Ovis aries: one gene and its partners. The protein of the gene in region 5 binds, or shares a complex with, the protein of the main gene of each other region. Links are inferred from orthologs where the notes say so. Each region holds a gene or a part of one and is shown on either strand. Other genes may lie near its edges.

Evidence for each region.
Region 1: EXOSC2 (region 5) and EXOSC8 share a complex: the UniProt entries of both Homo sapiens proteins name them as parts of the RNA exosome core complex. The link is inferred for Ovis aries from reciprocal best matches to the Homo sapiens genes EXOSC2 and EXOSC8.
Region 2: EXOSC2 (region 5) and EXOSC4 share a complex: the UniProt entries of both Homo sapiens proteins name them as parts of the RNA exosome core complex. The link is inferred for Ovis aries from reciprocal best matches to the Homo sapiens genes EXOSC2 and EXOSC4.
Region 3: EXOSC2 (region 5) and EXOSC5 share a complex: the UniProt entries of both Homo sapiens proteins name them as parts of the RNA exosome core complex. The link is inferred for Ovis aries from reciprocal best matches to the Homo sapiens genes EXOSC2 and EXOSC5.
Region 4: EXOSC2 (region 5) and EXOSC6 share a complex: the UniProt entries of both Homo sapiens proteins name them as parts of the RNA exosome core complex. The link is inferred for Ovis aries from reciprocal best matches to the Homo sapiens genes EXOSC2 and EXOSC6.

What each region holds. Positions count from the first base shown.
Region 1 is NC_056063.1:24,979,778-24,984,764, forward strand, and holds the start of EXOSC8 (exosome complex component RRP43), read right to left. Parts: upstream 2,959-4,987; 5' UTR 2,934-2,958; coding exon 2,917-2,933; intron 1,623-2,916; coding exon 1,586-1,622; intron 1,354-1,585; coding exon 1,290-1,353; intron 305-1,289; coding exon 231-304; intron 1-230. Other genes in the region: ALG5 (dolichyl-phosphate beta-glucosyltransferase), read left to right, coding at 4,326-4,391. UniProt on the Homo sapiens protein: Non-catalytic component of the RNA exosome complex which has 3'->5' exoribonuclease activity and participates in a multitude of cellular RNA processing and degradation events.
Region 2 is NC_056062.1:13,710,014-13,714,706, forward strand, and holds EXOSC4 (exosome complex component RRP41), read right to left. Parts: upstream 2,677-4,693; 5' UTR 2,618-2,676; coding exon 2,447-2,617; exon of another isoform or gene 1,499-2,446; coding exon 1,292-1,498; exon of another isoform or gene 1,269-1,291; intron 1,195-1,268; coding exon 835-1,194; 3' UTR 786-834; downstream 1-785. UniProt on the Homo sapiens protein: Non-catalytic component of the RNA exosome complex which has 3'->5' exoribonuclease activity and participates in a multitude of cellular RNA processing and degradation events.
Region 3 is NC_056067.1:50,085,889-50,090,029, forward strand, and holds the end of EXOSC5 (exosome complex component RRP46), read right to left. Parts: intron 3,315-4,141; coding exon 3,174-3,314; intron 2,125-3,173; coding exon 2,035-2,124; intron 1,329-2,034; coding exon 1,236-1,328; 3' UTR 895-1,235; downstream 1-894. UniProt on the Homo sapiens protein: Non-catalytic component of the RNA exosome complex which has 3'->5' exoribonuclease activity and participates in a multitude of cellular RNA processing and degradation events.
Region 4 is NC_056067.1:1,305,072-1,308,881, reverse strand, and holds EXOSC6 (exosome complex component MTR3), read right to left. Parts: upstream 2,170-3,810; 5' UTR 2,127-2,169; coding exon 1,308-2,126; 3' UTR 890-1,307; downstream 1-889. UniProt on the Homo sapiens protein: Non-catalytic component of the RNA exosome complex which has 3'->5' exoribonuclease activity and participates in a multitude of cellular RNA processing and degradation events.
Region 5 is NC_056056.1:5,933,498-5,938,343, forward strand, and holds the start of EXOSC2 (exosome complex component RRP4), read right to left. Parts: upstream 3,058-4,846; 5' UTR 3,041-3,057; coding exon 2,919-3,040; intron 1,291-2,918; coding exon 1,189-1,290; intron 1-1,188. UniProt on the Homo sapiens protein: Non-catalytic component of the RNA exosome complex which has 3'->5' exoribonuclease activity and participates in a multitude of cellular RNA processing and degradation events.

The DNA of each region.
Region 1 (4,987 bases), on a different chromosome or scaffold from region 5:
TTTAAAAAATTGTTTCAGCAGATTTGCAAATGTTCACAAATTATAATTAAGTCATTAAACTTGGGTTGTATTATCTAAAACTCAAAGGTTAAAACTTGGGAAATGAAAACAAATACTAAAACACCTGACTGCCCAATCAACAGTAGAATTATAGATGTATATTATAATCTACTAAGTATATGAAGCTAACTTAGTAACTCAAATCTTGGTAGTAAGTATATTAAACCTACCGCTTTAATTCCACAAATTACTGTAGTATTTCCAAGCTTCACTAAAGAAGAACCATCTGCGGTACCAATCGAACCTGAAAAGTATTTTTTTAAAATGAAAATGTTTTCTTCTTTTATGTATGATTTTTATCTCTAAATATCTAAGATGTCCGTGAAAATTTACTCCTTGCTTGAGTCTTGGTAAAATTATAGTTGACCCTTAAACAACATGGGCTTGAACTATACAGGTCCACTTATACAAAGATTATTTTCAATACATACTTCCACAGTACTACGTGATCCACAGTTGGTTGAATCTAAGGATGCTGAACCTTGGATACGGAGTGCCAATCCATAACGGTAAGATTATACTTGGATTTTCAACTCTGTGAAGGTCAGTGCTCCTAACCCCCTCACTGTTCAAGGGTCAACCGAATTGTTTTAGGAATTATTCATTTTCTTGATTTTGAGTGAATCATTTGTCATTTAATCACAGGGCTGTTATTAAAATTTCTTGACAAAAATCACTGTAATCCCTTAGACCTGGTAGAATTTGTCTAAAACACCGTTTAAATGGCTCAGAGGCTAAAACCTGGGAATGTCATATGGGTAAAATTGGAAAATTCCATGTTTGGCAACAGAAGATTTAATAATGTAAGATATAGAAGGAAACCAAACCTTACAAGTTTTGAAGGGGGAAAACACTTCAGAGTTACTTTAAAATTTAATATGAACATAAAAACTGAAAGGATGTGCTTAGCTGCTCAGTCGTATGTGACTCTTTTGTGACCCCATGAACTGTAGCCTGCCAGGTTCCTCTGTCTATGGGATTTTCCAGGCAAGAATACTGCAGTGGGTTGCTATTTCCTTCCCCTGGAGATCTTCCCCACCCAAGGATCAAACCTGTCTCCTGCATTGCAGGTAGATTCTTGATGCACCAAGACATTTGGGAAGCCCACTAATGAGAGGAGAGTGAGTTAAAAAAAACTCTACAAATAAAAAGTTGCTATTAAGAAAAAAAATTCTATTTTCAGAACTGAAGCAACTTCAACATTCTTTTAGAACTCAAAGTACTCTCACCTACGTTGACAGTTGTGGTTCTGAATTCACCAAGTTCTCTGCCATCGGGACGGCAATTCTCTTTCTAAGTAAATATATGAAAGTAGATTACAGCTACATGTATATCTTACACAGACCAAGGAAAACACACTGAACCTCATTAATTCAAATAAATTAATCTGTATTACTTTAAAATTGTCTTTTAAAAACTGAAGTATACTTAGAACATTAGGTGAATAACATGATTAATACTTGTATTTATGAAAAAAGCATATGATACCATTATCAAAGGGCATCACATAATCACCTTTACTTACCAGAAATCTCCTGTAATACTCCAGAGGTTCCACAGTTCTGAAAGACATGAGAAAAATGAGATAAATTATAAATCAATATAAATCCAGAAACACAACAATCTTAATAGTGGGGTGATGGAGCAGAAATCTCCAAAATTTGTAACTAAGTTTCTGTTATGAATTCTAGTTTATGTTGCCACATGTTGCTAATTATAAAAAGTAGCTACTTTTGCAATAACAATCACACTCGAAGACTGATTTTAATTCTGCTTTAAACAAGTATAAGGATCGAGACCAAAACCCTAGGCCTCTTTAAAAAGAGAATGAATCCAGGTGTGCATCACTCATACTTTGAAGCAGGAATACTTCGTTAGTAGGAAAAAAAAAAAAATTACGCATTTATTTTCACTACCCCGACTTAAATTTAGCATATTCTTCGATTACAAGCATAGGCAATAAACCACTATAATATTAGCCGTACCTGCGACTTTAACAACCACAGATTAAGATGTTTTCGTTTTTACTTTATAGTTGCCTAAGGTCGGTAAAGCGTATGCCCGCAATGCGGGAGACCCAGGTTCGATTCCTGGGTCGGGAAGATCCCCTGGAGAAGGAAATGGCAATCCACTCCAGCGCTCTTGCCTGGAAAATCCCATGGATGGAGGAGCCTGACAGGCTACAGTCCATGGGACCCGCAAAGAGTCGGACACGACTGAGCGACCTGACTTTATGGTAAGTGTAAGACGTATCGTTACTTCGAATTTCAGGAGTTACTTTAGACTTCCCACTAGGCCTTATCTAAGAAAGTTAATTTCAAAACAGATATTTCACTGTGTCAAAAACCCGGAGTTTATACAAATACATGGTCGTTTCAATATAACTGGTTTCCTTTGGAATCCTATTTATTGCATCCATTTAAAACTCGACTCAGAACGAAAAGCTATAGCCTTCCCCAGAGAGCAGCACCGAAAACGCTTAAGGAAAACCTTTCTAACGAGGCAGAATGCTTTTACACATAAACTACTGGGCAGAGAAAGCAGGGCGCCCTGAGGTTTTGAAGCAACGCTTTCTACAAGATTACAAGTGTCTCTCCTGTGCAGCAAAGTCCACTACACACAAAGCCTAGCGCTCGCAGCGGGTACCTGCTCAACACAGTACTTCCTATCACTGGGGAGAAGATGCGCCCTTTCCCTTCACTACGACCACCTTCAGTTCTCCCGCCCAACGTCTCCTTCTGCAGTGGAAACAAATGGGAACCAGGTGGGGTGGCCTCCCGATGAGAAAATCCCAAGGGTAGGGAAGCCGCCGACCGCCAGGCTACGAACTCGCGCCCGCCAGCCTACCGCACTCACTTGAACCCAGCCGCCATCTTCCGCCCGCCGATCTGCGCCTGCGCCCGCGCCCGCGCCTGCGTATCACCACCCCTCCGGCCCGCGCTGCTGTTTCGCTTCAGCACTTTCAACACTGATTCTGCTACCTGATATGTAGAAGGCAGGGTTGTATGGACCAGAGTAGAGGTAGAAGAGGTGAGGGTGGTTTCCCGCATGGCTTCGCTTCGACCACCCCTAGCCAGTCGCCCCTTTAGGTTTTCTTGACCTTGACGTTTTTGGCGAATCGGCTTTTACGAAAGTTATGAGTGTTTGTTTAGAAACAGTTTGATAGTTCAAGCGTGCGTGCTTAGTCTCTTCTGTAGAATCAGACTTTTCGCGACCCGATGGACTATAACCCACCAGCCTCTTCTGTCCTTGGAATTCTCCAGGCAAGAATACTAAACTGCGAAGATCTTCCCAAACCAGGAGTGGAACCCATGTCTCCTGCGTCTTCTGCATTGAAGGCGGATTCTTTATCGCTGAACCACCAAGGAAGCCCACCATTCAAAAGTTTCAGAGAAAACCGACGGTATAGCAAAAAATCAAGTGTTGAGCGTGGAGCATTATTCCAGTGTTTCCGCGTTCTTTCCCCCTCCTCCTTAGGCTGAGCCCTGGGCTTGCCTTCTTCCAGGTAAAAGCCTCCTGCTAGAGCACCGAAAATTTAAAAATTCTGTGCGCTGGTTATCCACATCAGGTTACATTACGCAGCTGCCAAGAGTGGGCTCCAAAGAAACAACTTTCGTTGTAGACTGTGTCGTGGCTCAAAACCTCCACTCCACCTCCTTCCTAGAAAGGGTTGCTGATAAAACGCAGGACATCCAATTCAATTTGAATGTCAGGTGAACAAAGAGTACACGCAAAATTGTTCATGTTGTTAGTTGTTACCAGAAGCTGGGGGAGAACTGGGAAAGGTTTAGCAAGAGGCGGTAGTGATGGTTGCAGGAAGCTGTGAGTGCAGTCAATGTCCCTGTAGTAGACACATAAACTGGTTAAAATGGGAAATTTGATCAGTTTTTCAAAGTTAATATAACAAAAAGCTCTTAAATGGGCGAACTTTGAGTGTGTGTTATACTTTAATAGTGCTGTTGAAAACCGATCCGTTGCTATCTGAAATTCAATTTAAGTGGACATCCGTTTATTTCTCCTTGCTGATTTTGACAACCCTACTGCGTTTGAACAGAGCCGCTCGCACACAACATAGTCTCGTCACGCGGTGGCGCTGTGGGCAGCGCGGGTCCCCGGGCGTGACCGGGTCTGGCCGCGAGGTGGCGCTGTGGGCGGCGGGCGCCCAGCTGGCATGGCCTCTCTGCGGGCTGGAGGCGGGGCTGCGCGGCCGCATTTCCGCGTGTGTGTAAACGCGGGATAGGGCGGCTGGCGGCCCGGCATGGAGGATGGCTCCGGTCTTGCTGCAGCTGGCGGTGCTCGGCGTGGCGCTGGCCGCCGCGGCCCTGATTCTGGTGAGGAGAGGGGTTGGGGACAGACGCGGACCTGGGCTCACTGCGCTCCTGGAGGCGCGGCCCCCCAGGCATGCTCTCCTCCTAGCTGTCCGCTCTTTGACGTGTCCTTCCACCACGCTTCCCCAAGCCTAGACCCCAGAATTTCACACCCCCTTTCCTTCAGTTCCTTATTTTTATTTTGGAGCTCCTTCCCCCTGCGTGCCCAGAACCTAGCACTTGCGTTCACTGGGACATGCCCACCCCGTCTTCTTTTAGTCCCCTGGTTTCCGGACCTTCTGCCCATCCGCCCTCTCAGCCCTGACCTCTCCAAGACTTCCTCCCGGGTCTGCAGTTCTGGCCCTACCCAGGGAGATCCTGAGCACCTCCCCAGAAAGTGTGTGCTTTCTAGACACTCTGTTTCCTGGTATAGTTAAGCAAATGGAAAGTGGTGACCGCACTGACCAAAGCCAGCTATTAGCAGAGCAGATGAATCAGCGGACCAGGAAGACCAAGCCTGGACCAGTGGTCCAGGCCTGGTGTTACCGTATGGTTGGGGGTCGTTATGTGCCAGAATTCAGCACCCTAAGTTCACTGCATCTGCACGAAACTGTACAGCG
Region 2 (4,693 bases), on a different chromosome or scaffold from region 5:
AATCAGGCATGTGTCCAGAACCAAGATCACTGGGGTCCGATGACCACAGGGAAGAAGGTGCATGAAACTACTGGCCAAGGGGTTTCAAAGGAGCTGGGGTGTGTTGAGTAGAAAGTGGGAAGCACCCCTGTCTGGGCCAGGAGGTGCCTGGGATATTAGAGAAGGAGCAGCCCCTTGGTTCAGGCTGCAGGGCCTGGTGGTGAGGGCTCAGTCAAGTCTGAGGTGGAAGAAGGGGGAGCCTGAAAGAGGAAGGTGCAGTGGTGGGGCAGCAGGCAGTGTCTGTCTTAGGGTCAGGACTGAGAAGACGCCAGGTGACATTATGTGTCTGTTGTACTTTTGGAGCCCAAGGGAAGTAGCAGGACAGGCCCAAAAGGCTTCTAGAGGGCAAGAGACCCTTCAGTCCCAGCCACAATCCAGAGGATGTGGGACACGGCCCCCACATGACCATAGTGAATACCCAAAGCCACCCCTCAGGACTTGTGCTCAGGACTCTGGATGTGTTGGGATGAGAATGACAGACTCCATGGTCGTGGGGCATGGCTCGTTATACCAGGCTGTGTCTCACTGCCCAGCAATCCCTTCTTGGCCCAGGCTGCTCACTTCATCCAGGGACATCCGCCTTCTTCAGGGTGCTCACCTGAAGCACCCTGATGAGCAGGGTGAGCAGCACTGAGGCTGCAAGGGGTGTGTAGTGCATGTCTTGGGGGCGGACCCTTAGTCATTGCTAGAGCCAGCACCAGGCCAGGATCCAAGGGCAAGGAAGTGCGGTGGGGAAGAGATAAAAGTACAGTGAAAGGTGCTTAGGTTTTATTCTGGGCTTGGGTGGCCCTGTGCTCAGTCCCCCAGCAAGACAGAGGCCTCTTGTACATGCTGCCGGACCACACGGTCCAGTACGGTATGTACATCCCGGGAAGCCCGGGCAGCGGCCTCTAGCACTTGCTCCAGGTGGTCCTCATGCAGTCTGGCATCCATCTCAAGCAGTGCAATCTGGCCTGAGGCTGGTAGCAAGGCCAGGGCCAGCTGGGGGCCCCCAGCTGCTTCCTCCACATGGCTGAGGTCTGCCAAAGCTGTTCCATCCACAAAGCCAGCTGAGCAGGCACACACAAAGTCCCGCATGGGTATCCCCGCGTCCAACACTGCCAGCGTGGCTGCATTCACACAAGCTGCGTAGGTCCCGCCGTCTGCCTGCAGCACCTGCAGGAACCCCCCAGTGGCATGAGTTTCAAGCTGCTGAACCCCAACTCCTCCTTTCTCTCTCCCCTCCACAGGCTGAGGGCTGCTGCCTGCTCACCTGCACATAGATGTCAATCTGGGAGCGTGGGTGCAGCTGTGTAAGGATGGCTGCCTCGAAGGTCTGACGCAGGTGCAGACCCATCTCACAGGACTTGCGGTCCCCGTGTGGCCGCCGCTTGCGCTCCCCTGTGCTGAAGGTTGCAGAACTGTACTGACAGTTCACCAGGGCCCGGTCAGGCAGGGCTCGTGCCCGGGAGCCTCTGATCTGGGGTAGGGTGGGGGAGAACACATGAGCCAGGCCCTTCCTCCCTCTACCTCCAACATCCCAACAAGCAACCACTTTACCTGCAAAACAACACAGCCCGAGGGAGGGCCATTGGGCCAGGCTCTAAGCCACCATCGTCCCTGGATCTCTCTCCTGACAGGCCTCCCTGTTTCCCCTCTTGACTCGTCCTCTCTCGACCCCATGCTTCCTTTGTATGAGAATCTGTTTACATATATCAAGTCTGATTCTACCTCCTCTGCACAATACATATACTGCTTACCTTATAAAGAGTTCCCATCACGCGTGAGATAAAAATCCTAAATCTTTTCCCTGTTTACAAAGGTCCTGGGTTCCTGCTTCCCTAGAAATCCCTCAGTCTCATTTGGAATTACCACCCTCTTCCCCATCACCAGTCTTTCTGCTCTGCAAGAGTGCCATGCTTACTTCTACCTCTCTGGCCTTAAGTCTCCAGCGCTGGAGTGGTGATAAACCCAAGCGGTTTTATTAACACTCTCTGTCTTCACGGAGTTTATGTTCCAGTGAGGAGACAAACAGTGAGAAATAAGTTAAACTGATGTCTGAGGAGGCGGGTGCGGGAAACCAGATAAGTGTGTGGATGTAAAGGAGGGAACTTGACTTGTAAAGGGTAGGTAAGGTGGTCTGGGGTGGGATGGGGTGAGGTGTCACCCAGAGGTGACGTCGGAGTGGAGCTGAGAGGTGAGGGAGCCAGTGAGAGCGGCCCTGGCGGTTTTAGGAGTAACAAAGCGGTGTAGCGAGCGCTGGAGAAAGGCAGGGACCGTCGTGCAAGACACTGTTAGGACTTTGGCCGCGGCCCCACAAGGCGGCGCGCGCCAGCCTCACCCCCGAGGCCTCTACTCAGCCAGGTAGCCCCTCACAGCCCGTAGTGGCCACCCCCGGAGGAAGCCCGGCTCGCGCGCGCCCACTCGCCTCGTGAGGCCCGTAGACCACCGCCAGCGCCTTGGTATTGCCCTGTTCGATGTAGGCCGAACCGTCGGCCTGCGCGAATACACCCATCCGCGCCTGGATCTTGCGCAGCTCCCCAGCGCGCCGCCCGTCCACTCGGTAGCCCTGGTCCGATAGGAGCTCCAGCCCAGCCATGCCGCCCGGGCGCTAGCCAGGCTTGAGCGCCCGGCAGAACTACACTTCCCGGTAGAATTGACTCCCCACTTCCGATTCCCCAGGACTACGGTTTCCGGGGCACCGACTCCGACTTCCGGTTCCGGACCCCTGCGATTCTCCCAGAGTTCCCGAGGGCACCACATCTCATTTCCGGTCCTTGCGGAACTGCGGCTGTGGGCCCGGGGAGGGACCCTTGCGGCCTTTTGGGGTACGCACTCGCGCCTGCAGGGCTGGAGGCATGCCGGACGTGGAGTCGCCGTGTCGTTTCTTCCCGGGTTGGTCATGGGGACGGCTCCCTCTACCATCCGGGCCTGCCCGCCCCGCGCCGCCGCCTCTCCCTCGGCCTCTCCACTGAGCCCCGCGCTTCCCGCGCCGCTGGCGCTCCTTTACTTCTGCTTGACGCTTGGTATCTCCCTCGAGGTTTGCGGGCGATAGCCGCCACTGCTGGTCTTAAGTTCTTCCGCGGTCATAAATGCAGGCCTTCTCCCAAGCTGAGATACACTCTCTGTTCGCAGTTGTTTTTTTTTTTTCTTTAAACCGTTTAGTTTTTACATTTGTCCGTTTAAAAAGCAGACACATTTATGTTGTACGTACACATGGTCAAATTTTTTAGTTTCAATTTTCCATGTTGCCTTGTTTCTCTGCACTCATCCCCCTATCTACTATAGCTTAAAAAATGGCTCCGTTTTTCTTCACACTCATAATTACATCCAGGTCACACACAGACACGTGTATATGCAGCTGTACATGTACAGCCATATAGTGGCCTTTGGAACTCTTATTTTTTAAAATGCGATTGTTTCATACACTTTTGCATTTAACTCAAAAATATAAAATCTGTCCAAGTAATCCTGTGGAACTCATAGTTTTTTGGTTGATACGAGTATCAAGTAATAAGTAGAATGTACCCAGCAACCACCCCATTGTGGGCAGTGGATGTGTGTCCCGGGGTTGAGTGAAGGCTGTGTGGGAGTTAGATTCTCCGTCCTTTCCCACCTGGAATAAATGTTAAAAGTTTTTTACATAATCCTTCCCTCTTCAGAGGGTTACTGCCATTCCTCTTGCATTTCGTGGCCTGATGTCAAATGCCCTGGAACAGCAGAGGGGCTCACAGGAGGGGGGATGAGATGTTTTCCTCCACAGCTGCCTCCTGTTTCCAGATACCATTTGCTTGGTGGTCAAGGTCACCATCAGGGAGCTCATTACCCTCCTCATTTGCATTATTCGGGCTTCTCTGGTGGCTCGGCTGGTAAAGAATCTACCTGCAGTGGAGGAGACCTGGGTTGGGAAGATCCCCTGGAGAAGGAAATGGCAACCCACTCCAGTCTTCTTGCTTGGAGAATCTTATGGACAGAGGAGACTGGCGGGCTATAGCCCATGGGGTTGTAAGAGTCAGACACAACTTTAGGGCATTATTCAGCCCCTCTGCAGTGCTTAGAAACCAGATCCCATGCTTCAGGTTTGAATAGGGAAGGATAAATCAGCAGGGCTGTGACACTGACTATAGGGAGGCGACATTCACTGGGGCTGAGGGCGGTGTGCACTCGGGGCTTTCCTGTCTGTGGTCATTGGTGACTGGCGATGACTGGCATTGTCGTGAAGCCTTCCTCCTTCACGTCTTTGGTGGCAGGTGGTGGCTGTTGGCCAGGGCTCAACTGAGGCTCTGAGAGAGAGCACATCTTCATGTGGCCTCTCCATCCAGCCTGGGCTTCCGCAAAGCACGGCACCAAGGTGGACTCCCAAGACAAAGTGGGTGTTTGTGGCGTTCTAAGACCTAGCCTCCAGAAGTCAGGTAGTGTCACTCTTGCCAGACTGTGGGTCAAGGCAGTCACCAAGGTCTGCCAGGCTCAAGGGGAGATGACATGGTCCTCCCTCCCCGCCCACAGGAGCAGTTCAGTGTCAAGTTGTGGGAAGAGCAAGTGGAACAGACGTGCTGTGGTGGGCTTGGGCCTAAGTCCCAGGCCCAGTGACCCCTCCAAGGTGGTCTGGAATACTGCCGCACGAGGCCTTGTCTGCGCCTGGGCCATGGCCCTGATGGCCGTCATCCTCTGTTTG
Region 3 (4,141 bases), on a different chromosome or scaffold from region 5:
TACAGTCCACAGTTGCGGAGTGGCACATTACTGAAGTGACTTGGCGTGCACAGGCGCACTGCCATTTAATCCTGCCAGAAGCAAACATTATTCGCTGTCTATACTCTCCTGACTGTTTTCACAGAGTGTAATCTCAAGCTATTTATGCATTTCCTTGGTTAGTGGAGATGAAAATGACACCTGCCCAAAGGGCCAACTGTGTGAGTCAGTGCACCCGTTTGAAGCTGCAGCAAAGGACCCCCTTCCCCAACCTGTCATTTTTACCATAACCCCCCAGATGTCAGTGGCAGACAGGATCTGGCAGGCATGTGGCCCACCTGTGGGAATCAGTCAAATCAGAACTGAAAATATACCTCTTTCCAGAAGCCCCTTATGCGGTGCTACTACCCGACTGAGAACCAACAGGCCTCAGTCACTTCCGTTCACTGTCAGGGACCTGAGGTCCAGAGTGTGCTGACTCTCTTGGGGTCTGAATAGTGGGGCTCTGGGTCTGGACTCTGAGGAGGGACCCATGTTCCACCACTAACTAGCTAGTGACCTCTGCCAGTTAACTGGCTCCTAAGTTTGTTTCCTTACCTTAAAATAGGGACCATAACAGCCCCACCTCAGGGGGTTGCTGGATAAAGGCAGTGCTCAGAGGCAGATTGCCTTCCAAGGCACACGAACCCTGTTGTCTCCCTGACCATTTCCTCCCTCCTGCCCTCCCTTCCTCTGCTCCAGCTGCACCAGCCATCTTGCTGGTCTTTGAACCTCTGCCTATCTCTGCCAAGGGGTCCTCCCCGCCACGTGTCCATGAGTCCCTAAGCTCATCCCTGGCCTCCTCCTGGACTTCCCTCAGATGCTCCCTCTCCACGAGGGTGTCCCCTTCCCCCACCATGAACTCACCTAAACCCCTTTATAAAAATTTTTTTATTTTTTAAATACCATCCACCATCCAACACACACTACTGTTATTTGTCTATCACCTCACCGTTCCTCAAACCTGGGCCTCACTCACTGCTGACGCCTTAGCACCCAGCAGGGCTTGCACACTCTAACTGCAGTCGGCTTCATGGGGCTGTTAGAATGAGTAGCTTCATTCAGTGAATGCACTACCCTACCAGTGCCTTCCTGGAGTGGGGTGGGGTCCCCCATGCCCAGGGGGCCGGCTATAGCCACTCTTTTCTCGGCAGGGCCGGCCTGCTGGCTTCTTTGACGCTGGAGGTGGCGGGAGGGGCGGCCTGCCCTGGCTTGCCTCAGCTCTTGGAGTAACGCCTCTGCAGCGATTCCCGGTAGAAGCGGAAGACGTGTGTGGAGGCAGTCTGGGCTGCAGCCAGGCACTGCTGGAGCTGGGAGGGGAGCGGGGGGGAGCAGGGGTGGTCAGTGCCGGGGGCCCCACCTGACTCCCAGAGCCCCCCAAACCTAACACCTCCCCTTTCACCAGGAGTCCCTCTCCCCAGGGGAGGGTGGTGGTGAGGGGGTTACTCCACATGCATTCCCGTCTTCCCCACTTCATGGCCTCGTTAGAGGAGGCTTCAGGGCTGATTAAACAGCTCCAGGCCCTCGGACCAACAGTGTCAGGCATCCTGCTCCCGGAAGCATTCCCAGGTTCCAGAGAGACTGGAATTTTAGACCCAGAGGCCCTGTGACTCCAAATACTCTTAAAAGCCATGGAACTCAAGACCCCGAATCTTTACTGCCGCATATACATGTTTTCACAGGAGGGCCAGGTGGTAAATGTTCTTGGTGACCATTTGGCCCAATAGGTGCCAAACTCTGTTCAGACACCCCGAACTCCAGGGTGCACAGCTCTGAGCTGGAAGCTGGGAGGCCTTCAAGTGCCCCGTGTCCTGATTTCCACCTGAGCCCCTCTTCTCATCAACTGGGCTTCCCTTTAAAATTCCCACAAAGGATTCTATGGCCACAAAGTTTAAAACCTATTTGCAGAAGGGGTGCAAGGAAGGGGTTCCCCTTACGCCTCTTAGAATAGTGACCAGACCTCGTGTCAGGGGGGCGCAAAGGGCCTGGTGTTCACCCCCAATTATGCAGTGATACCTCGGCGTCAGAGTAGAGCCCCTTGGTGGTGGACATCAGCAGCTTCCGTTCCACGCTGTCAAGGGCAAAAGTCAGGACTGCCCGGGCCTCCTAGGAACAAGAGGTACAAGGTGGAAGACCTGGGACCCTCCCCTCAGATACAATCTCAGCTGGCCCCAAAGCGGGTGTGTGTGTGTGTGTGTGGGTGGGGGGGGGGGGGATGGTTGCTTTTCCTGCAGCCAGGCCCTCACGTAGCAAGTGTATTTTTTGAGGGGAGTCTACACATCACCCCCCCCCTGCGTAATCGCTCCTCACATGATCCCACCACGTGGCTCCGACAGGGGCTTCCAAAGCACAGTATTCCACACCAGAGGGGCAGCCACGGTGATGGTCATCCCTCAGTGCCTCCCAGCAGTGCTCTGCTCTCTGGGGCTGGAAGCCAGCAAGCTCTATTTCCCAGGTTCCCCTGCCAGTTTGGTTCTAGTGGGAATCTGGTGGGAGACGAGAGGAAGCAGAAAGCAGCATCTGGGTCCTCACAGGATCTGGGTCCTCACAGGAGTTTGGGGCGTATCACCCACCACAGTTGTCATGGAGATGGGGTGGCTGCGGACCTCAGCAGCCAGGCCAGAGCCAGACTGTCTCTGTTTTCATCTAGATCTGACTGCGCCCATGTCCCCAACAGTGCCCGGTAGGAGCTGGCCTCAGGTTTCTCGTCTTGGGGGGTCCTCCCTTCTTCCCTTTTGCTTCTTCAGCTCTTTCAACATGGCTGTTGTGACCAGTTCCCTGCATTCAATTCCACTCCCCTCCCCCCACATCTGAAGCTCCCAAGGGGTTTCTTTCCGCTTTCCTGACTGGAAGTGACTGTCACAGTCCTGAGCAGATAACTGGGAATAACTGGAGCCCCAGCACATTGTGAACTTGAGCCACTGAAGAAGAAACTCTAAGATTTGTTTTTGGTTTTGAACCTCTTAAAATCAACTCCCTTGTCGCTTCAGCAGGTTAGAGCTGGGTTTCTAGCAATTGCCCAGAGGAACAGAGCAGAGCTAGCTGGCTGAGCAAATGAGGTGGTACCAGCCAACTGTTTTGGAGAAGTGAGGCCCAGAGGAGGAGAGGGAGGGTGCCTGCCCAGGGCCTTTCACCACCCCGCCCTTCACACTTACCTTTTCCTGTTTAGCAGTAGGGTCTAGCATGAGGGTCCCATCAGAGTCCAGAGCACAAGTGACCCCACAGAAGAGGGCCCGCATGGGCACACCGGCGTCCACCAGGGCCATGCAGGCGGCATTCAGGCAGCAGGCCAGGAGCTGAGTGCCACAGGCCGTGGTTAAGTTTCTTTTTTCATCCTTTTTTTTTCTTTGACCACGCTATGTGGCTTGTGGCATCTTAGTTCCCCAGCCAGCAACTGAACCCAGGCCCTCAGCAGTTACAGCGCAGAGTCCCAACCACTGGATTGCCAGGGAACTCCCATGTTAAGAGTTTCTACCGAAGGTTGGTCAGCAGAATACATCCATGCCTCTGGTTCACCAAGCCAGTGCCTGTGAACACTAGACAGCTAACTGATCACAGAAAGGCAGAGTAATCCTGGGATCTAGTATCCTTGGGTTCCAAACGTGAACTGCCACCCCTAGGCTGTGTGACCTTGAACAAGCTACTTACTCTCTCTCAGCCTCAGTCAGGGATCACAATGATATTCGGCAGGTATGCACCTTCGGGGAAACAAAGGTCAGAAGCCTTTCAAGATAAAACAAGGAGGCAGTGGCAGAGCCAGGCCTGGGGCTGGGGAATCGAGCAAGCAGTGCTACCGGGTGGCAGGCTGGCAGGATGACGGAGGGAGGAGTCAGTGTCCTCAGGGAGCCCGCAGTCCAGGGGAGAGGTGCGGCCCTGGCCCTGTGCAGGGTGAGCACAGGCCTGAGTCAGCCAGCCAGCCCCAGCTCAGTTTCCTCTCCTCCCCAGGGCCCAGCTTTACAGTCAGCCAGCCCCACCTCTGCCACTGACCCTCCGTTATCTCCCATCTGTGAAATGGGTTCACAGTGCGCCTCTTCCCCCATCTGTGAAGTATCTGCCCAGTGCAGGGCCATACCCACGCACAAAGCTGTCTAGAAATGCCCATTTCTGGGCCTCTGCCTCTCGC
Region 4 (3,810 bases), on a different chromosome or scaffold from region 5:
CAGTAGCAGGCTGGAACCCCTCCAGGCCCATCAGCTCCAGGCACCGTCCTTGCCTTGAGTGTTTTCTCAAGGGTCTCTCAGCAGCACCCACGCCACCCATTCTGGAGCCAGGGACATGGAGGCGTGGCTCAGCCAGACCAGCCAGGCACCCGGCCCTAGTGCTGGTTTTAGCTTTGTCCAGATGGCAGTCTAGATGCTGCAGGGAAGGGGGCGGCCCGCAGCTGCCCGGCACCAGCACACCATCTCATAGAGCTGAGGCCCGCTCCTGCAAGCGGAGCTGGATGCCCACCCCCCCGGAGCAGCGTCAGCTCTCTTCCCTCTCAAAGCCCCCAGTCCTGTTTGAGCGTCCACAGGGTTACCATTTTTACTTTGTTTCTATCTTGTTTCTTTCTGCTGTGATTCTGTATTTCAGATCTGATTTGGAAATATATATTATGTCACTGGGGTCAAATAAAATTTGTATTTTTCCCCCTAGTCAGGGATTCTTGGTGTGGTCCCCAGGCCTCATTCTGGTCTCTCAGCTGCCTGAGCCAGCCTTTCCTACAGCTGAGCAGGCCCCTAAGACACACAAGCTCAGGTTACACCAAGCTGGTGCAGGGAGGACCCCAGGCGGCCCTTTCGCCAACTCAGACCTGAGCACAAACCTGCAGGGCTCAGGAGCCACACAGGGCAGAGCCCACCCTCCTGGTCAGACAGACCCGCTCTGCCCTACAGAATGGCATCTCCAGCATCCAGAAACTCTCACTCCTGGCAGTTCAAGTGCCCTCTCACTAGTGGACCAGCAACCCCAGGACACATTAAAGATAATGCTTGTCCCAAGCCCTGAGAACACAGTCCCCAGCTCAGAAGAGCCTTATTCATTAAAGTCGGTACCAAAAACAACAGAATGTTTCAGATTATAAAAAGAGTTTTTGTTTGGGTTCAGATATACGTGGAAGGCACAGCCTCCTTGTCCCCGCTCTCAAAAGCAGCCCAGTTATTCAGGAGGGAGCCCCCGGCTGGCCTGCATAGGCATCATTTTCCCGATGAGTACAGCGGAAGTCCTTTCCAACTTAGGAGTCAAGATGCGCTGGCAGGTTTCTTCAACTGGATCGTGGCTGGGAGTCAACTCAATTAGAAAAGTTTCTTTAACGAAGCAGTCTGGAAAGAATCGCTCCAACACGGCTATTCTGAGCACGCCTCCGCAGATCCTCCGCGGTGCTCCCGGTTCTCAGCTCGGCGCACGCATCTGCAGGCCGACGGCGCGGGTCCTTGTGGCGGCAGCTGCGGGTCGGTCCTTGGCGTCCGTCGTTGCTCGGGTCTCTGGCTCAGAGGGGCGCAGCGGCACCCCTCCGGCGGGCGGCCCGCACCAAGCACTGCTGGAGAACGGGGTAGAGGCGCTGGCAGCCCTCGAGCCCCAGGCGCACGGCCTCCGCCCAGCTCTCGGTCGGGCCGCCCTCCCCGCTGCCCAGCAGCCCAGCCACCTGGTTGAGCACCGGCATGAGCGCCACGGTGAGGCCGGCGGCGGCGCGCTCCTCCTCCAGCAGCGTGGGGTCCAGCAGCCAGGCGGGCGCGGGCGCCGGCGCGCGGCTCAGGCCGCAGCCCACCACCAGGTCGTACATCTCGACGCCCGCGTCGGCCAGGGCGAGCGCGGCGGCTGTGAGCGCGGCGGCCAGCGCCGAGCCGCCGTCCTCCAGCAGCAGCGCCGACACCTCCAGCTGCGCGCGCGGGTAGCGGCCCAGGCGCACGGCCGGCTCGAGCGCCTCCTGCAGCGCCAGCGCCAGCTCGCGCTCCTCGCCGCCGCCCGGTGGGGCGCGGCGCCGGCGGCCCGAGAAGGGCGCGCGGCGGAAGTCGCAGAGCAGGCGGCCGCGCAGCGCCGCGGGGGCCTCGCCGCCCGCCCCGGCCGGGCCGCCGCCGCGCTCACCGCCCTCGGCCGGGCGCGGGCCCGACACGGCGCACAGCACCTTGGTGCCGCCCGCCTCCAGGTAGGCCGAGCCCTTGGCCTGGCTCAGCAGCCCGGCGCGCGCGTACACCGGCCGCAGCCGTGCCGGGTCGCGAGGGGCCGGCGCCTCGCCCTCGTCGGCCGCGTACAGCTGCGGCGGCTGCGACTCCTCGGGCCCGCGGATGCGGCGGTGGTCCCCGGGCATGGCGGCGCTGCTGCCGGCCGGCTCCGCGGGTCAGCGGGGCCCCGCGCGCCGGCGCTTCCGCCCGCCTGCCCGGCCGCGCGAGGGTGCGCGGGAGAGCGGCTGGCGCCACACCGCCCCCTGCCGCCCCGGAGGGGGACGGTGCGCGTCGCGGAGCCCCGGGCCACCGCGAGGACGGCCAGAGCTGGGTGCATGGGTGGATCAGACGGGCCTGCAGAAGTGGGGTCTAGACCGGCCCCGCTGACCTCTAGCCTTCACGCCAGCGCAAGCCCAGCGCGTGGGTCTTCTTCCTCTCACTTGTGAAGCTGTAATCGGTCCTACACTAGTGACACAACCGTATACATGTTCCCCCGCCGCCTTGTCCAAGAGGGCCCTTTGGTACTGCGCCCTGGCTGGCACAGCTTGTGGAGTGCTTTTGGAACTCGCTCCCGCGCTGCGGACTGTGTGAGCTTTGTATCCCTCACACTCCTCACCTGGCTTGCTTTTTTGCAGCCAGGGCCTCAGCACCCTTCCTGTTTCTCCTCTTCTTCACCCCCAGGCCTTGTGACTGGTGGTCTCTGCTTCTTCTCTCAGCACAAACCTGCTTTTCTGCTCCCTCCAAGTCAGCAGGGCTGAGAATGATTCAGGGCCAGCCTGCTGTACCCAGGGGACTTGAAGTCAGCCAGAGAGGGCACAACTAAATACTACACACTACAGCTCCCACACCCAGCTGTCTTCAGGCTGGGGTAAATGGACAGAACCAGGTCAGTCTCCATCTTCACCGTCCAAGTTAGGTCCTGAAACCTGGAATGACCTGGCAGTCAAGGGTGTTGGGAGGAGGCAACTGATGTTCCCTAAAAACCTCCTATACCAAGGAATGTCTCTGACCTCACATCCAACCTGTACATCAGGAGAGGAAAAGACATAGGAGACTTATCAACGAGAATGTTCTTCTGTAAAAAGCACCAAAAACGAAGACGCTCTCCGCTGCCAGCAACCCCAGGGACCATCTTCATCACCCTATTCTGTGAGCCATCCCCATAGATGTTTTGACGCAAATCCAGGCACCATTATTCTCAAAGTTCAGGGGTCTGGGGCTGGACTCAGCAAGGGCCGCAACCAGAAACCAGTTGGAACCACAGCCACTAGTCTACAGACACCCAGGGAAGCACAAGTTATCACAGGAGGGAGGGTGAGAAGGGAGGAGGAGTAAAAGAATCACGTGGCGGTATCCTGTCAAGTATTGCACATGGCCTTTTTATTCTCTGCAGCAGAAAATGATTCTTCCCTTGAGGCCCATAGCACTGAGTCTGCAAAGAACTCTCTACAGACACAAGTGTGATGATGAAAAAGCAATCCTGGGGTAGTAGTTCTAGGTGGACGGCACGGATGTGCTCAGGGCAGAAATGTAACATGGGCGTTGAGTCACAGGCTGGCTCTCAGGTGAAGTTCCGGTTACTGCTGGGTTAGGACAGATGGGACTGTTTAAAGGTCTCAAGATTCAAACGTCCTTGTGGTGGAAGGAGAGCTGGCTGGATGGGTGTGCCTGGGTCGGGGAGCGGGGGAGATGCCTCCTGGCGCACCTGCCCTTCCCTCTCAGTTCTTCACGTCTCCCAGGCGCAGCTGGGCAAAGGAGGTGGCCAGCTGCAGCGCCTCCTGCAGGCAGCCCACGTTCTTGCCCGTGGCCTGAGCAGACACGTCTTTGCCA
Region 5 (4,846 bases):
CTTCTCTTTCCAGCCCACACTCACTTGGTGAGCTTACCCAAGTTGATGGCTTTAAATGCCACCGATGAGTCCACCATTCCCCTGAATTCAGGCTCTAGCTCTAGTCAACCACTGGCTACCCAGCACCTTCACTTACGTGCCTAACAGGAATCTGCGTAAGTTAGAAACCTCAAACAAAGCTTTCTAGCAGCCCCTTCAATTCCACTATAGCAAATGGATCCTCTCCCAACTGTCACCGGCCCAGGAAATAGCAACTCCACCCCTCCGGTTGCTCAAGCCACAGTCCTTGGAGTCTTTGGAGGAACCGTGTGTATCTCCCTCCTCCCCTCTCTCTCCTGCTCCAGGACAGGTCCAGCAGCAGATTCTAAGACCTCTACCTTACCAATGTAGGCAGAAAATAAAAAGCACCCCAAAGGAAGAAATAAAACGATCTCTTCTCACAGACATAGTCCTACGTGTAGAAAAGCCCACATACAAAATCCTACAGCTTTTCACAGTAAATACACGCAGAACACGAAATACACGCAGAACTGATCACTATTCCCCACTTCTATGGCTATCACCTTAGTCCAAGCCACCACCAACCGAGATGATGAGAACAGAGCAGGAATCTGGCTCCCTAACCCTGCCCCACCCCCGCCCCCAACAGCAGCCAGAGTGACTCCATTAAAACAGAGGGCGGCGGATCAGGTCCTTCTGCTCCAGGGCCTTCCTAGACCGCACAGAGTGGAAGTCAGAAACGTTTATCGTGGCTGCAGGGCATGCAGACTGCCTACCTCACCTCTCTGCATCTGCTCCTACTACTCGCCTGCTCACTCTGTTCCAACCCCACTGGCTCATGTTCTGGGGCTAACCTTTACTGAGCCCTCAAGGCAGACGGCTCTCTGTGTAAAGTACTTTATACACACTATTTCGGTGAATTCCAAGGAAAATCCTACCCAGGAGGTCAGGCAAGGTCTCATTTTGCAGGAGAGGGAACCCAAGTTTGAAGAGGTCAGATATCGTAGGGAAACCTTTGAAGCCTACCCTTACCTACAGTCATCTCTACCCTTCCTCCAGTCATGTTCCCGAAATCCCAGCCCTACAGAACGACAGGGCAGGCAGGGCTGGGGGTAGGGGGTGTGTCATGGCAGAAAAGACCTGGCTGTGCAACTCAGATGCCACAAAATACACACCTTTTGCTCTCACCTGGTTTTCAAAGCTTTTACACAGATCAACTTGTTTACTCTCTCCACAGAGCCAGCCACAGATGCAATGAGCTTCTCTTCCCCCATGTAGGTTCCATGGCCCCTGTTGCAACAGGAAGATACAAAGGATACCAGGGTAATATTTGAGGTGACCTCTAGCAGCCAGAACAATGTGTTCCTCAAATCTGATTCCTCCTGCCTCAAAGACAGGCTTTTCTGCTGGCTGCCACCTCTGCCTAAACACTCCTTCTTTAGAGTCCTACGTGGCCATCTCTTGCACTGTACTCAAGTCGACTCAAATGGCATTTTTCCACCAGGCCTTCCTCAACTCTCCCATTTGTAATAGTCACCCGCCCTGCGGCTGCCATCCCCACCATATTTCCAACTTATGCTCCACTTACCCTGCCTCACTTCTTTATTCTTTTCTACTGCATTTACCAGCAAATATTCTAAATAACTTGTTTGTTGTGCTTATTTCTCATCTGTCTGTCTCAGAACATAAAGTCCACCAGGACAGAGATTTCCTCTTTGTTCAGTTTATACCCCAACCACAAATAATATTTATGGACTGCATGAATAAAGGACTGAATCTTAAGATTTCCTGGGAACCAATAATCCCAAACTAAGAGGTTAAAGGGCAATGGAATAAACGCTGTACCTCTCTCATATGCATATGGGGGGAGGGCAGAGGCTGCCTGAGGTATGAGTAGTGTTGACCACTGTGATGGTGATAGAATGGTGAGTCTTACTTTTTTTCATAATCATTACCCCTCATGTAATCCTTCCCTGGTGGCTCAGACAGTAAAGAACCTGCCTGCAATGCCAGAGACCTGGGTTGGATCCCTGGGTGGTGAAGATCCCTGGAGAAGGGAATGCAACCCACTCCAGTATTCTAGCCTGGAGAATTCTATGGACAGAGGAATCTAGCGGGCTACAGTTCACCGGGTGGTAAAGGGTCGGACATGACTGAGGGACTAACTCTTCCACACTTTCACTTTCATGGAATCCTCACCATTCTCTGGAATAGTTATTTTACAGACGAGGAAACTGACCTCGGAGAGGTGATACAGCTAATATTGTGACGGCAGCAGGACCGGAACCCCAGCTGCCCTTAAGCTGGAGCCTGCCCTCAGACTCAAAGTTACCTATTCTGGTGCATGTAACATAATATATTTGCATGCCCCCTAAGCCCAAAATGGCAACCCACTCCAGTATTCTTGCCTGGAAAATACCATTGACGGAGGAGCCCGGTAGGCTACAGTCCATGCGGTCGCAAAGAGTCGGACACGACTGAGCGACTTCACTTTCTTTAAGCCCAAGCAATGGCTCGTTCCAAAACCGTGCCCCTGGCTAGGAGACGGAATGCTGAGGGCTAAGTGGAAGAAGTCAAAAACGCCCACCATCCCTTCCGCCGAAACCTGTGAGGAGGCCCTAGCTGCAGGTTCAACGAGGAAGGCCTCAGAATCGGGGCCTGAGGCACAGGACCCACGAGTCACAGCTACCAGTGATCGGGACAGGAAGGTTTCGGGGGAGCTGAGGCAGCTACAGACGGGGACATACAAGAAGCAGGAAGTAGGAAGTCCGAAGCCTCGAAAACGAGGCAACTGAGATGCTCCCAGATGCGCCCCGGGTACCGCGAGCACTTAGATGCAGAACACAGGCCCAGGTTTGATGCGGAAAGAGAGCAATGCAGCCGCCCCTGCCGCCCAGTGTCCCCACAACCCCACGTACCGCATGAAGCCTGTGTCCGTGGTGATCGTGTCCCCTGGCACCACTAGGTGCTTTTTACTCTCGCGGCCCAGGCTCTCGCTAAGAGGCTTCCGAGCGACGGGAAGCCTCATCTCCAACGCCATCTTGGCGCCAATAACTCGCGCAGGCGCAGCCCCACTCGGAGTCACGCTTTCCGTCTCCGCAATTTCCAGCCGTCGCTCATAGGGGCGGGGCCTCAGAACAGCCGCCAACGGGAACTCACGGTCTGGCCTCCATGTTGGCTACTGGCAACCATTAGGTTAACACGAAGGGAAGGAAGGAGTCAAGTTGCCATTTTTACTATTGGCAAGGCTGCTCTTGTCAAATAATAAAATCTCAGGTTGCATAGCGTTCGACTTTTCAGCAAAACTCTTGTGCTCATCTCACTTACTGTTTTCCAGGGTTATAAATAATTGTGAAGTGGGCCTCTGAGTTTCCTTCCAATTCAAAGCTGCTGAAATCTCTCTTCTTTGGTATGCGATTGACCAGGAGGATCAAGAGGAGAAAACACTATTTGGACAGAGGAAAGAGTCTCTTTTCGTACTGTTACTAGTAGCCCCTGTATTCTACATTACTGTCACTTCGTGAGTGCTAGTTCAGCACCAACCATCATCTACACCCCCAAACAGTGCTGCAGGTGCTGTTTCCATTCTTTCTTAAGCGAGCTGATTTCCCTGGTATTTCTTTTGGAAAAAGCAAGAAGCCGTCTAAGAACACATTTAAATCTTGCCAAGCGGGTATGTTTTGTCAGGGAGGACAAATGGACACAATACAAAGATTTTCGCGTACATTTACTCACACAGTGAAATGAGCCAGGAGCTGTCCTAAGGGTTCAGTGATGAACAGATGGAAGGATATGTGGTTTTATCTAGGCGTCAGGAGTATTTCGCTTGTCCCTCTCCCCAGGTGCTACCCTCTCCCTCACCCTTGGCCCTGCATGCTTTATAGCATTCGCAACAGACTTAGTTTCAACCTCAGGGAATTGGAGGTGATAATTCTTCATGCAGGCTTCCCAGGTAGCGCTAGTGGTAAAGAACCTGCCTGCCAATGCAGGAAACATAAGAGACACGAGTTCAATCCCTGGGTCGGAAAGATCCCCTGGAGGAGGGTACGGCAACCCACTTCAGTATTCTTGCCTGGAGAATCCCATGGACAGAGGGGCCTGGTGGGCTATGGTCTGTGGAGTCTCAGAGTCGGGAGTCGCAGAGTCAGGCAAGACTAAAGTGACTTAGCACAGCACAGCCCAGTACAGGGATTCTAAATAGGATGAAATAAAATAACTTGCATCAGCACCACTCACTGAGACCAGTAAATTAAGTCTGTTTTCTCCTGAAGACCCATCAGACCAATAGCCTGGTAAATCTTCAAAAGGATAGCATTTCTTTCACCTAAGCGTGGCTCACAACTACATTTGTCTAGAAAGCCAACCCTGTAAGGTAGTCAGTTATATAGATTCTAATTGCTCACAGGTCATCAGTAAGTGGACAGCCAGACACTTGCCCTCCTCCTTGCCTGGAGAAGGGGCTCAGTTCAGTTCAGTTCAGTCGCTCAGTCATGTCTGACTCTTTGTGACCCCATGGACTTCAGCATGCCAAGCCTCCCTGTCCATCACTATCTCCTGGAGTTTATTCAACCTCATCTCCATTGAGTCGGTGATGCCATCCAACCATCTCATAAGACAGAGGACAGAGGAGAAGGGGCTAGAGCCAAGAAAAGTATGAGAAAGGGTGCATCCGTTGAGTCTGCTCTCGACCAGAAGAGGGCAGTGGTGTCCTTTGAAGCAGTATAGCTCAGTCAGGCTGCCAGGCCTGGGAATGCTCCTAGACCACGTTCTAGTCCTGGGTTATAGTTGCATGCTGGATTATAGTCTTGACACTGTCCAGTTTCAAGGAAGCATGGACATAACCATA